Linked DNA regions of Alligator mississippiensis. The protein of the gene in region 1 purifies or fractionates together with the protein of each later gene. This does not show direct contact. Links are inferred from orthologs where the notes say so. Each region holds a gene or a part of one and is shown in the gene's direction. Other genes may lie near its edges.

Region 1 (6,899 bases):
TCGCTCCACAGACTCGGTGCGCTCCTTCCTCAAGCGCAGCAAGAAGGGCCGCTTCAACGAGGAGGAGGTGGCCCAGAAGGAAGCGGAGCAGGCGCAGAAGCTGGCCGAGGAGAAGGTCCTGGCCGAGGCCATCACGGTGGGCGCCCGCTGCGAGGTGCGCATGGCCGGGCAGCCCCTCAAGCGGGGGACGGTGATGTACGTGGGTGAGTGTCGCGCACCCCTGCTCTGGCTCCCAGACCCCGGTGTCTCTGGGGTGGGGGGAGGTTGTTGAGGGATTCCCCCCCGTCCCTGGGAAGTTCATGAACAGCCCCCAGCCCTGCTCTGCGTCCCACAGCTCTTTCCCCAACCCGCCGCCGTGTCCTGGGCAGAGTTCCTCTCCGGGTCCCGCTCCCCTCCCTCGGGCAACACTGCGCACTTCCTGGCCCGGTTCCTCCCTGCCCTCCAGGCACCCCCCAGCCCCAGGGGGACGTTTGTACCCCAGGCCACGAGCCGGCTGCGCCCACCTGCCCCTGCCCAGGTCCCCCGACAGCAAAGAGACCCGTCTGCTAGCGGGGATCGGGTGTGCTCTGACTCGCCGCCTCTCCCTCCTCGCCGCAGGCCTCACAGAGTTCAAGCCGGGCTACTGGATCGGCATCAAGTACGACGAACCCTTGGGGAAACACGATGGCAGGTAAGACGTCTGCTCCCCTCCCAGGCTTGGCTCTGGATCGGGGCCACGAAGGATTCCCGTGGCCCCAGCGGAGAGAGCCCTGCTGCTGCCGGGTCCCTGCCTGGATGCATCTGCCAGAAGAAGGCAGCTTTGGATCTCGGGGAAGCGTTTCTTCCCTGTCGGAGCAGAGAGGCCGTGGGAGAACGGCCCAGGGGAGCTGTGCACTCCCCATCGCTGGAGGGCTTCAAGGAGAGGCTGGGCAGGGCTGGGCTGATGCCTGTGCTCTGCGGTGGGGGCTGTGCTGGTCGCCCCCCCTTGCTGCTGAACGGGTCTAGCAGTAGTCAGCCCTGACATGACCCCCATCCCTTGCTGCGCTCAAGGGGGGGTAAATAGATGCTTCAGAGACGCCAGGCCAAGGCCGTGCCCCCGCTGCAGAGGAAGGCAACCCCCCCAGTTTGTACCAGTATGAGCAGGGGGGAAATCTCTCCCTGCCCCCAGTGCAGCGTGGGGCTGAGTCTGAGCACGGGGACAAGACCCTCCAGCCAGGACCCTGCAGGGTTGGTGCCAGAGGAGCATCAGCGCAGCCCTGCACCCAGCGCCTCTGGGGGAGGCTTCAAACCCCCTCCCCGCTGGACACTAGCAGAAATGGGGGCAGCCCGCACAGCCCAGAGCCCCCACAGCAGAGCGCAGGCACCGGCTCCCCCCGCCCAGGGGCTGCCCAGCCTCTCCTTGAGCCCCTCCAGCAATGGAGTCCACAGCTCCCCCGGGGTCTGTCCCGCTGCCTCCCTGCCCTGACGGCAAAGCGTCTCCCGAGATCCAGTCTCGCCCGACCTCGCTGCAACGTCAAGCCGTTGGCCCCGTCCCCGTCTGCACCCAGAGATAAGGCTCTCTTCCTCTCTCTCCAAGTGAAGGTTGAGAGGCGACCTTGTGGCTGCCTATAAGTTCATCCCGGGGGCACAGAAGGGAATTGGTGAGTATTTATTCACCAAGGCGCCCCCGGGGGTTACAAGAAACAATGGCCACAAGCTAGCAGACAGCAGATTTAGACTGGACATTAGGAAGAACTTCTTCACGGTCCGAGTGGCCAAGGTCTGGAACGGGCTCCCAAGGGAGGTGGTGCTCTCCCCTACCCTGGGGGTCTTCAAGAGGAGGTTAGATGAGTATCTAGCTGGGGTCATCTAGACCCAGCACTCTTTCCTGCTTATGCAGGGGGTCGGACTCAATGATCTATTGAGGTCCCTTCCGACCCTAACATCTGTGAATCTATGGCAGTCCTTCATGCGCTCGCAGATGGCTCTCAAATGCTGTCAGCAGTATCAGGCCTCCACAGAGCCAGGGCAGGAGCCTGGTGGGGCGCGGGTGGCTTGAAGCGGGCGCCTCCTGCCTCCAAGGAGAGCTGTGTGCGCCCAGATCGTGGGTTGGTTCTGTCCCGGGGCTCCTCAGGGCAGTGTGGACCCCCTGCCGCTGGGTCTCCGTGCTCGGCGCATGGGCCTCCCATCAAGCCCCTGACCCCAATGCCTCTCTGTCTTCTCCTTTTTTCCTCCCCCGCAGCGTGAACGGCCAGCGCTACTTCGAGTGCCAACCCAAGTACGGTGCCTTCGTGAAGCCGCAGCACATCACGGTGGGCGACTTCCCCGAGGAAGACTATGGCCTGGAGGACGAGATGTGAGGGCGGAAGGGGGTGGGGGGAGAGGCCGAGGCTGCCCCCCGCCCCTCCCCACCCGCCCTTTCACGGGGCCATCGCGGCGCCCCGAGCTGCTGGGCTCAGACCTGGGCGGCGAGGCGGAGCCGCGAGAAGCAGCTGCACTCCTGCTTGTATCCGTTTGTTCAGTGAAAGATGCCACTACTCTATTAATAATATTTATTATTTTGCCCCCCTTCCCCACCCGCCTAACACCGTGAGACTAATAAACCTGCCCAGATGTATCTGACCTGCCCACGGAGCAGCGGCCCGGGAAGTGCTTTTATGCCGCAGGTTCGGCTTGGGGAGGGGATCAGACCGAGAGCCGGGATGGCCCTGAGCCGGCCGGGGGTTTGGCAGAGGGTTGGAGCTTGGGCCATAGGTGTAGGACTCTCCTTGGCTCTCAGCAGCGCCAGGGTCCCTGGGCCAGCAAGAGGGTTGTAGCCTTCGGGGTTTGGGGTGGTGGCCGGCTCACCCCCCCCCCGTCCTGCTGTCTCGGCGCTGCTCTACCCGGGGAGGATCCAGTTGTGCCGCGGTGCGTTTGCAAGAGTCCCCCCTTCCCAAAGGGGAGAAGCGCCCCAGCTGATGCAAAAAACACCCAAATGCCCCAGGGACGGGCTGGGAACTCAAACAGGGCTGGATCCATCGTGGGGGTGTCTCTGCACCCCCCCCCCCCCCCCCCGGGGGGCAGCTACCATCCCCACCACAGTGCATAGCCTCGCGGGCACTGCAGCAGGGAGCCCGCAGCCATGAGTTAGGCCTTGCCTGGCATCGCTTTCCCAGGGCAGGCTGCCACGCTGCGTGGTTTCCCCGCAGGGATCTGGTCCCCTACTTTGGGGCGCCCCGGCAGGGCTGGGTCGTTCCAGCGCCGCGCGGCTGGGGTTGGGCTGCAGCGACAGGCCTCCCCTGGCTGGGTCAGCAGCAGCTCCATCACAGCTCCTGTGCGATGCGGCCCTGACACCACCCGGACGGGGAATTGATGACTTCTAGCTTCGCCACCCTGCTTCGCTTTGAATTGCCATCCAGACCAGACCAGACCAGACCCCCACACGGGTCCTTAGGCCAATAGCTTTAACCCCTGCTCATCTCCGTCTTGGCCCTTGACCAGTGGGACTTCGGGGCTCTTCCCCCTTTGGCATCTCAGGCCCTGCTGGGCTGTGTGTCCTGCCTGGCACCGGGCACAATTCATCACTACAACCCCACTGGGACCCCGCCGCCCCCTCGGGCAGGGGCGCTCCCCGCAGGTCAGGATAGTTGGTGGTGCCGGCTGTTAATTAATTGGTGGGCAATTAATACCGCCCAACACCCCACTGCCAGGTCAAGCCCCGTCCCCTCCAGCCCGCAGGGTCAAGCCCATCCATGGGCCAGGCTGTCTCCCACCTCCCTCCATGCGGCCAGAGGGGCCCTGCTGTGCCCACCCCGGGCACTGGAGTGGGACCACCAGCTGGATCTGGCCCACGGGCTAACGCCTCCGTAGCAGCACAGTACAGGGCCACCCGCCTCGCTGCACCAGGGCCAAAACCTCACTCGGGAAGTCTCCCACGGGGTGCCTACCACTGCCCTGCCTCCGGACGACACCCGTGAGCGTGGGGCAGCGCTGCCAGCGCTCGGGCACTGGTCTCCGGTCCGGCTCGGCGCAGCCGGGGGCACGGGCCCTGCAAGCCGTGGGCTGCTTGGCCCACGGGACTGTTTCTCGGTGCCTTTTTTCCACCCGAAGTCTCCCTGGTTCGCGGCGGGGGGAGTGGGGAGCACAGACAGCTTTGCTGGTTGAGCCGGGGGCAAAAGGCTTTTCTCCCTCCTCGGCAAGCCACAGCCCCACGCCCTCGCTGCTCGGCGAGGAGGGGCACGTGCGCGCGGGGCGGGGGTCAGGACGAAGCAGTCCGAGTGCACTCGGGCAAACGCTCGCAAGCGGAGTCTGCGCTGGCGGATGCCGCGACCCTGGACATCGCCTCTCCCTGCTCTTCGCTCCCAGCTCCTGGCTAGTGCCCGTTTTCACTCGTGGGCTAGATCAACCCCCGCGCAGCCCGCAGGGACAGCGCTCGCGGCTTTCGAGGTGCCCGCCGGGGACGAGCGCGCTGCCCCTGCCCCTGCCCCTGCCCCGGGAATGGCTTTGGCCAGGTCTCCAGCCAGGACCAACAAGAAAGGGGGGGGCCGGCTTGAGTCGAGCGGGAGCAGAGGGGCATTTCTGCACAGCCGCTGCCCCGAGACGACAGCATCGCTCCCCCTTCATTCCTGGCCCAGGCCCAGGGCCCCTACCAGGAAGGGGCAAGACGAGGGCTCGGAGGCCGCGCGGAGCAGCTGCGGGCGGGGACCCGGGCCTGCGCCCCGCCCGCCCGCCCGCCGCTCGCTTTCGCCCAGGGCAAGGCGAGCTGCTCCTGTCGTTCCTCGGCGAGGAGACGGAGGTCCGGCAGGGCTTTATGAGACTTCAGGTTGGAGGGGGCCGGGGGGGGGGGGGGGGTCGCATCTCGTCCAGCCCCGCTCCCAGCAGGCCCAGCCCCAGCCACATCATAGATTCATAGACGTTAGGGTGGGAAGGGACCTCAATAGATCATCGAGTCCGACCCCTGCATAGGCAGGAAAGAGTGCTGGGTCTAGATGACCCCAGCCACATGCCCATCTAACCTCCTCTTGAAGACCCCCAGGGTAGGGGATCCCAGCCACGGCTCTGTCGACCCCGGGCTTCAGCACCTCCCAGCATGGAGGTTTCCTCCCTGCAAAGCCTGTTCCAGCGCTTCACCCCCTCCAAGCCACCCCAGACCCTCGGCCCAAAACTACACGACAGAGCCCCGACCCTCGCCCGGGAAAGCTGCGGCTGGGGGTGCACCCAAGAGCCCCCAGGCCCTGCCCCCACTGCAGGGCACGGCAACCCGCCCCGTCCGGACCAGTCTGAGCAGGGGGGAAAGCCCTTCCTGCCCCAGTGCAGCGCGGGGCAAACCCCGGACCGCCCCGACCCCTGGCCGGAGCCACATGGCCGGGGTGGGCGGGGCCTTGGCCGCAGTGTATCCGCCGCAGCCAATGGGGAGCGAGGCCTGGGGAAGTCGGTGTCTCAACGTTCCAGGCCGGATCGGAAGCGGAGGTAGGACGGGGGGGGCGGGGGTTTGTGGGGTGGGGACGCGGGGGGGCCGGGCCGGGCACGGCACTAGAGCTGCACGTGTGCATGTTAAGACAGAAAAGCGGGTGCGGCTGTTTGCACCCACATGTGCAAAACGGCACACGGTGGTTTGCATGCATGTGAATGGGGGGGGTCTTGCAGCTGCTCACACACACGTGCAAACGGGGGTGGGGGTGCCCGGTTGCTTGTACATGCATGCGTAGAAGTGAGCGACACGATTGAAGAGGAGCCTGCACACTTGCCTGCACACGCATGTGCAAAAGCGGGGGGGCATGAAGTCTCATACATGCATAAAAAGGATCCCGTGTGCTTGCTGCACGTGTGTGTGCAAGGCCACGGGTTCCCGTGGCACTGATGCCCGCCCCTCTCGTCCCTGCCAGCGCCGCCCCTCGTGCCCCATGGCGCGGCACAGCCAGCTGCAGCGGGAGGTGCTGAGCCTGTACAAGCAGTGCCTGCGCGCCGCCCAGGGGAAGCCGGGCTTCGCGCCCCGCGTCCGCGAGGAGTTCCGGAGGAACGCCGCGCTGCCCGCCTCCGACGTCCTGCGCATCGAGCACCTGCTGCGCCGCGGGCAGCGCCAGCTGCAGCAGCTTCGGGACGCCCGCACCACCCAGCTGGGCGTCTTCCTGCCTCCCGGGCCGGAGCCGCGGTGACCCCGCGCACCGATGCAGCCGGGGTGATGCCGGGGGCTTGGACTTGGACTGGTCACGAGTGAAACCACGGCAGGTTCCTCTGAGCCGTTCCCCAGCGCGCTGGGGTGTGACCCCGTGGGCAGCACTGGCCAGAGCGGCTCCGTCCAGCAGGGAGCACGCGGACGCTGGGGTTGGGGTCTTGGGGCTGGGGACGCGGGGGGGTCGTGTCCTCCAAGTCCATCCTCGCAGGACAGGCGTGTTCCCGACTCGCACCCCCCTGCCTTCGTTTTATACAGTTCAAGTTCAATTATCTGGATTTCCACCCGTGTCTCTGATTTAACCGTCCCTTGGGCAGTGGAGCAGGGAAACTGAGGCATGACCTGTGCCCATTGCCCTATCCCTTGGCCCCCTTTTGGGCAGGGGTGCTCGACCTCTGGCCTGCGGGCCACGTCCAGCCCACGGGATAGAAATCGGGTCCCCCACGCCCTGCTACTGTATCTCCCAGCCCCACGTCTCCGTGTGCTGCATGCAGCCGGTCAGGAACAGCACCTGGTCCCAGGGCCCAATCCTGCTGTGGGAGGGGGCAGCGTTGCCCCCACCCCAAGCTCCAATCCCAGCATGCAGGGGGAGAACGGGGCTGGTGCCTGGTCCCTGGGCCCCGATCCTGGTGCACAGCGGGCTGGGAGGGGCAGCGTGAGTGAGAGAGCAGAGCAGCAGCTGGAGCTGCGGGCACAGGGCAGGGAACACAAAGCCAAGTGGCAGATGGGCCAGGGAGCAGGGTGAGAGTCTGGGGGCCCGGGGCAGGTAGATTGGACACCGGGCGGGAAG
Region 2 (7,563 bases), on another chromosome or scaffold:
CTCTGCACTGTTGGATCTAGATTCACAGACTATAAGGCCGGCAGGGACATCGGAAGATAATCGGGTCCAGCCACCTGCACCAAGCAGGAAAGGATATACCGAGATCCTTTCCTTCTTCTCTGGCTGCAGGCTTCCTGTGACTCCAGACCCCCAGGAAAGGGGTCCAAATTGTGCAAGTAACCAGAGTTGCTGCTGGCGCAGTTCTGTTCCCAGCTTTGCTGTAGATTTGCCCCATGATTGTGAATAAATCTATCTGTGCCTCAGTTTCCCCATCGTTCATAAAGGGGGAGGAAAGTGCTTTGAGATCCTCAAGTGAGAGGCACTATTTGCCTGTGCAAAGAATTGTCGACATCCAGAGTAGAGACAGGGCTAATCCCAAGGCATGCAGCAAGGATATCAAGTTAGAAGAACAGGGGGTATCAGATTAGATGATGTGTAACTAGGGAAGGCTCCAGCCCCCATAAAGCTGGGGCACGCAGGAAGGCAGCGTCGTCACAGATGATCATGCCACCAATGCCCAGCGCCAAGATTAAATTTAGTCCCAAGGTGCTCAAAGGATAACAAATGGCTTTCAGAGTGCAAGACCCTCAGTCAGGACACTGCCAGGGAGGGTCACCTGATGGTATGGCCTTGTGTGTTGGTAACCTGCCAGCCGCTAGGAGTGAAGATGGTCTGGAGATGCACCACATAGCTGGTCAGCTCCAAACCCGCCTGTCTTTGTTGTGCTGCGGGATAGGGTTACCATCCTGCTCGAGTGCCTGACCACTTTTAACTTGAAGCAGCTGAAGTGTCCTAAAATATGTGAAATGCAAACCCAGCTTGGGGTGATGACTTCTCACCTCGGGGGCTCACCCGATACCCTCCCCCCACAGAGGCCCAGAAGGGGCTTGCATTATTTCCCTTCTCCCCCATCTCGGAAGATAGAACCGTTTGTCACACATATTCTTCCTCCCAAATGAAGGGTCTAATTATGCTTGTCAATTTGTGCAAAATGTTTTCAGCGCCCTTCAGCCAAAGCAAACAGGAGACATACATAGCTGACCTGTGATGCAATGACTGCGCTGATTAGATGAGAACATCCACTTAATGAGCCCAGGTCAAATTCCCACTGTGATTCCTAACAAGTGGCAGTGACTTATGCATACGCGTTTTTTTTCACAAAGCAATGATTACATTTTCCACCGGCAATGAGTGCAGAGGGAGATCAGCTGCTAAGACTTCTCTCAGCCAAAGAGAAAGCCAGAGTCTTTCAAAACTGAGGGCACAAAACCACATCCTGGTTTCTCTCTCTTCCTTTACCCAGTGGTATAAATCAAGTTTAACTTCATGCAATCAATAGAGTCCCAAGAAGATGAGAAATTATGTGTGTGCACTGCCATAGCACCCACAGGCCTTAACTGAGATGGGCGAATCTCTTAGGTGCTCTGTATGCACCTAATAAGGGACCCCAAGGGGCAGACAGATGGGAAGGATTATTATCCTCCTATGATGGGAAATCTGAATCACAGCTTTAGTGACTTGCCCCAGGGAGCAGGTGGAGTCAGCTTCACTGAGCCCTGGTCTACTGGTATCCCCACATGGGCACATGGAAGCACACCTCTCTTCATTCACGTATAATTGCTAACCCAGCTGCCTAGAGACAGCAGTGGATCAGAAAAGACAAGTGAGTGCACAGCAATGGCAACATTTGTGGAAGACTGTTTAAAATTAGAGGTTCCCACCCCATATAGCAGCTAGCCCCAAGGCTCCTTCAATACTGCCCCAAAGTGACCAGATCCTAATAACTTCCCTGTCTGGACAAAGGGCATATTGTACGACCAGCATGATCAATTGTTCTGTGGTCAAAGCAGCAGTACTCATCTCAGGAAGCCTCAGTTCAAATGCTGTTTGAGGTCAGCTCCTAAGTGCCAGTCAATCACGTGGTTTCAGCCAAGTCCTCAGTGGACAACTGTCCAATGCATAAAACAGCTATACGTTTTGGCACAATTGAGCATGACTGGCGAGCTCATGGGAGGCATAGGATCGAAATAGCAGGGAAGGCTGCAGGTCAGAGCTGTAGGGGGTCCCAAGACAGGAATAGCAATGGGCTGCTACAGGTCAGGGTGGAAATGGGTTGCCAGAGGGAGTCGGAAAGGTTCAGAGCGATTCCCCACCCTGCTGCTCCTCCCACATCATAGATGGGCAATGACCTACGGTATGCATGCAGTACGTGACTTACATGAGCATCACTAGAGCGTAAGGAACTTCATCTCAGCTAATCAATCGTTTACAAACCAGATCCCTGGAACGTGCTGGGATCTAGTGGATCCTTTATTCCCATGAATGCAGCAGCGCAGAAGGATTCGTGACCACTTGCTCACTTCAGTGCCAGCAAAACACCCCTCTTTAAAAGAAAGCTGGATGCAAAATTGATTCACACTCAGTGTGAATACGTGCAGCTTGCTGGGGGGGGTGTAAGAAGGCCAGTAGGTGGCAAAGACTCTGGGATTCACTAAAGGATTTGCTCAATTTTCTCAGCAACTACAACACAAATTGGACTTTTTCCCCTGTTGAGGTGTTCACTTGAGAACTTGGTTTTAGGGAACGGCGTGCCCAAGCCTAGTGTGGCTAGTTTGATCTCCAGCCACCTTTGACTTCCCAGACAACTGGGTCCCCATTTGCAGCTGGGGAGCAGCCTTAGGGATAGGATCAAAGCAAGGCTTGAACTCATCCCTCAAGCACCCCTGCAAGGTGCTTTAACTGAGCTCTGCTTTTTAGCCACTTGCTACAAACACCCATCTGGAAACAGTGCAGCAAAATGCTCTGCAAGCGTGCGGCACGGCTTCAACTTGCGCTCTGTGCTGACACCAGCTGTTCACCGCGGTCCGTACTGCCCTGCAGGCCAGCCCATAGCACTCCCAGCTTGTCACGAAAGAATCAGAAACAGCCCCTTTGGGTGAAACTCCAGCCTCTTAAAAACTGGGGAGGGGACCTGCACCTCACCCTTCCTCTTTTGGCCACCTCTATTTCCTGAGTTGCTCATTGTAGTCTTTCATCCCAAATTCTGGCTCACTTCTGTGCAAAACCCATAGATCAAATGAACACCCAATTTACTGCAAGCTAAGCACTGTGCAGTTGCTATTCTGGCCACAGAGGGATCACGGTCGGTCCCCAAATGCTATAAAAATCATGCTTTGAACGGCAAAAGGAAGTCAAGAGACTAAAAAGGATCCAGACTAAAAGGCAAGACGGGCCAATTCTGTTCCCACGGAGATTGTCTCCAACGACAATGAACGTATTGGTTTTAAATGAGGTTTCCCCCTCCTCCGTGCTGATGAGTCCCTAAGTCAGTTACAAACAACTTAGAAATAACGGGTCGAGAGAGAAAAGAGTGAGGTTTGCGCGAGACGGCACTAAGCGAGAGACACGAAACGTTGATGACAGTCACTTCCCCCAACAGTTCCTATTTGCTACTTTAAAGACAATCCTAAATTGATGGATATGCACCGCAGACGGGCGTACATTGAACCTCACGGGGATCTGAATGGGAATATAAACGCGTGTCAAAATGGCAAGTGTCAGACGGACTCTGCCGCTCAAAGACCCGGGAGAGAAAGCAGCGTGAGAGGGAGATTCGGGGGGAAACCTCCCTCGGCTGCTGCTGCTGGGAGCAAGGAGCGCATCCGGGGTTTCACAGGAACGAATGCTTTCGATAACAGGCGATCTTTCCACGCGGGACCGCACGACGGAGCCGGGGGATCGTTTGCTCCCGCGCTGCGGCATGCCGGGGAGGACAGCGGCGGGTAGTTAGCAGCCAGGTAGAAGGCGGGGGAAAACAGCACCTTCGAGACTAACTAAATCACAAACTCAGACGGAGCTAGTCTGTCAGACACGGTGTTGGGGAAAGGCCCGCTGTGCTCCACTTCGCGCGACTCCGCCGCCAGCACGTGTGGACGCGGCGGCCCGGCCTCTGCGTCTCTCCACAGCTCGCGCCGAGTCAGACCCATCGCCAGGGACCCCGGTTGCCTCTGGTTTAGGACAAACACCCCGGTTTTCAGTTACTTTTTTAACTCCAAACCCACATTTTCCATGATTTCCACATATTCCAAATCCACATTTTTCCATGATTAAAATGAAACACTGCTATATCGGTCTATCCATCTATTATACACATATATATATATATATATATATATATATATATATATATATATATACAGCTCGATCGATTTATCTAGTCTCTCCTTGAGGCGCCGGTGCTGAGGGCGGCAAACAGACGCCGGGCCTCCCTCAGGATGGACGGGGAAACTGAGGCAGAGCAAGGACAACACCCCTCCCCATGCTCCTCCTCCCCACCGCGCTCCCAACATGGCCTCTCGCCATGTAAGCCACGCCTACCTGGCCTCCCATTGGCTCCTCCTGTTTGGCCCCTTTCCACAGCGTCGGCCCGTTGGCTCCACCTCTCCCTCGCCTAACCGTCCTGCCTCCGCGCCCTTAGTCCCGCCCACCCTGGCTTCCCATTGGTTCTCACGCAGCCCCCTGACTTCCTGCTTCCGCCGCAGCGGCCTTGTGGGATAGCGGCGGACTTTGCCGGGATCCAAGATGGCGGCGGCCGTGGTCGGAGTCTCCTTGAGGCGCCGCGTTACCGGGCCGGTGCTGAGGGCGGCCGCGCTGCAGGTGGGGGCGGGGGCTGCGCCCGCCTGGCGTGTGACGGGCCGCAGCGTGATTGCATCATCGCTATCCGTCGTAGTAGCCGCTATATTATGATTAATTATATATATTATTATTATTATAGGATATGCTAATCTATATAATGACGCTGTGTTGATTTATAGCAATGTCCTGCGTATAATATAGCGTAAGTGTAACATAATATCGTATAATACGTGTCATATATACTATAAGTACCTATCTCATGATGTTATGTGCCGTGCATTGCTATATACTAGCATTGCATCGTTATGTAATATAATTTATAGAGATACGTTCAGTGCAGTCGTGTGTATATACATAGATAGGAATGTAGTATGTAGTAATATTATATATGATGCATCATATAGTATCATGTACTATTAATGTGCCATCAATATGGTATCATGTGCCATCAGTAATAGACATTAATAGCACATTATACCATAACGTGCTACTAATATGGTATAATGTGCTACTAATATGGCATCGTGTGCTATTAATGTCTATTAATGTGCTACTAATATGGTATAATGTGCTACTAATATGGCATCGTGTGCTATTAATGTCTATTAATGTGCTACTAATATGGTATAATGTGCTACTAATATGGCATCGTGTGCTATTAATGTGCTACTAATATGGCATCGTGTGCTATTAATGTCTATTAATGTGCTACTAATATGGTATAATGTGCTACTAATATGGCATCGTGTGCTATTAATGTGCTACTAATATGGTATAACACACCATTAATGTGATATCATATTAATGTGCTGTGATAATCCCTGGCAGAGGCCGTGCCCCCGCGGTAGGGGAAGGCTGGGCTAGTCTGACGGGGGGGATCCCTTCCTGCCCCCAGTGCAGGTGGGGCCGAGCCCGAGCAGACGGGCAGGACCCTCCGGGTCTCCCTCCCCAGGCTGCAGCCAGCACCTCTGGGGGAGGCTTAAATCCCCCCGACACTGCTACTCACCCACCTTCCTGCTGCCAAAGTGTGGGAAACCCCCCCCCCCCAGCAGAGCACAGGCGCTGTGGTGCCTAAATCGGCCCCGATGAGGATGCATCCAGCTTCTGCTTGCCCCTCTGCAGTGGTGGAGAGCGCGCAGCTTCCCCAGGTGTCCATGCCACGGTTTACCAGCAAAGGAGTTTGTCCCAGTCTCCAGACTAAATGCGTTTTGCTGCAGCGTCAAGCCGTTGCTCCACATCCTCCTCTCTGTGGTGATGAGCGCTGCTTTGGCAGCGCCGTCTCCATGAAGGTTTGATGCATGCGGAGCTGTGGGTGTGAGCCCGCCGAGGAAAGTGCTCCGTTAGTAGAGGGGGGGTCGCTCGTTGTGCATCCGCTGATGCCGTGGGGCAGCGCAGGTGAAGACGGGGATGGGAGCGGGGTTCATAACAAGTGCTGCAAAGGGGGGGATGTGAAGCAAAGTGCACCAGCCAGCGCCCACGGGCCCTCTGATGAATCCAGGCAGCCAGGGGAGGCTGCCCAGAGACATGAGCAGAAGAGGGGTAGGAAGACAGCCTTACAGTTAGTGGGGTCATCCTGGCTAGGGCCTCCATCCTGGTCTGGCACGCCCAGGCGTGTGCATGCCATCTGTGTGCCAGACTGATGCCAGCCGTGCACAGTCACCAGCCCCAGATTCAAGATGACTTTGGAGCTGCGCTGAGTACACACCAACAGGCACATCTGCTGTGCAGCCCCTGAGAGCGTCCGAGTACCCGTCCAGCAGTGTTCGGAGGCGGCTGCATCGCCTCCTTGGGATGTGGATGGGGCCTGCGTCCTGGTGGTGGTGCTGCCGACCAGCTCTGAGAGGCTGTTCTCTGATTTGGGTGCAGGTCTGCCGTGGGGCACAGACAGCAGCTGCCGCAGCTCCCGCTCTCCAGACAGAGCCACGGATCAAGAAATTTGCTATCTACAGATGGGATCCGGACAAGTATGAGGACAAGCCCCACATGCAGACCTATGAGATTGACTTGAATAAGTAAGTATGCACCTTGAAACTTGCGCATGCTTGGCACTTGCACTCGGCCAGAAGGCTGACCTGCGCAGGTTACGTCGCCCCTCAGTTTTGGACCTGTGAAAAAGCATGTAAGAGTGGCTGTGGGCTTAAGTTAGACCTTCTCTAGCTGCTGTTTGGAAAACACTGTGATTAGTGTAGCATGATCGTGCCTCAATAGTGCAATGTGGTTTTGCCAGCATAGATGAAACCAAATCTTGTGTTTAGGCTTAACGACCCTTAGTACAGCCATCAAGTAGAGTTTCCTTAACTGGATGGTTACACCGGCCTTTCACGTGCAGGCAGAATTGTCAGGGATGCAGATTCCAGCTCGGATGTCTCCCAGCACATTTAAAAGTGCAGCTTTATTTCTCAGTGTGTGTAAGCTGGTGTCCCCAAGGTATGTTAATGGCATGCGTGTGCTCAAGAGTAGTGTGACTTGGGGACGTGACACAGTAGTTATGTGTGCGCTTAAATGGAGGTGCTACTTGGCTCGTAGATTGAGAAGGCGATTCTGTGGAAATGGTGGAAACTATGTTGGTCCCTTCTACGACTGCACGCATGCTTATGCTGCTTAATGATGCGATTCGTAACTCTAGATATTGTGTAAATTCTTTGCTACTTTTTGAGCTATGAGCAAGAGCTTTTTTCCCCTCTGCAGTTAGCAAGAAGGGTACAGCCTTCCTCTGAGATATGGAAACCTTTGTACAGTTCCCTATGTCTTTATTTTTTTTCATGACTTGATCGCCACAGTGCTGTTTATGAAGGGAGCCACCTCAAGCTCATTTTGAAACTTCCAGCTAATGCACAATGTAGCTTATTAAGCAGCAGCTGATAGAGAGAGCAAAGTACATTGCGCTGTGTAGTCAACAATATCTTCTAAGTTCTGGGTGGAGTTTCA

Evidence for each region. Proteins that work in one complex are often made in the same cells at the same time.
Region 2: the proteins of SDHAF1 (region 1) and SDHB purify together in Homo sapiens (co-immunoprecipitation; 3 studies listed by BioGRID and IntAct, with this or other methods). This does not show direct contact. The link is inferred for Alligator mississippiensis from reciprocal best matches to the Homo sapiens genes SDHAF1 and SDHB.

What each region holds. Positions count from the first base shown.
Region 1 is NC_081838.1:888,179-895,077, reverse strand, and holds SDHAF1 (succinate dehydrogenase assembly factor 1, mitochondrial), read left to right. Parts: upstream 1-4,783; 5' UTR 4,784-5,406; intron 5,407-5,822; 5' UTR 5,823-5,840; coding exon 5,841-6,092; 3' UTR 6,093-6,381; downstream 6,382-6,899. Other genes in the region: TBCB (tubulin-folding cofactor B), read left to right, coding at 12-203, 598-670, 2,201-2,318.
Region 2 is NC_081836.1:3,543,806-3,551,368, reverse strand, and holds the start of SDHB (succinate dehydrogenase [ubiquinone] iron-sulfur subunit, mitochondrial), read left to right. Parts: upstream 1-4,551; 5' UTR 4,552-4,581; coding exon 4,582-4,656; intron 4,657-6,501; coding exon 6,502-6,647; intron 6,648-7,563. UniProt on the Homo sapiens protein: Iron-sulfur protein (IP) subunit of the succinate dehydrogenase complex (mitochondrial respiratory chain complex II), responsible for transferring electrons from succinate to ubiquinone (coenzyme Q).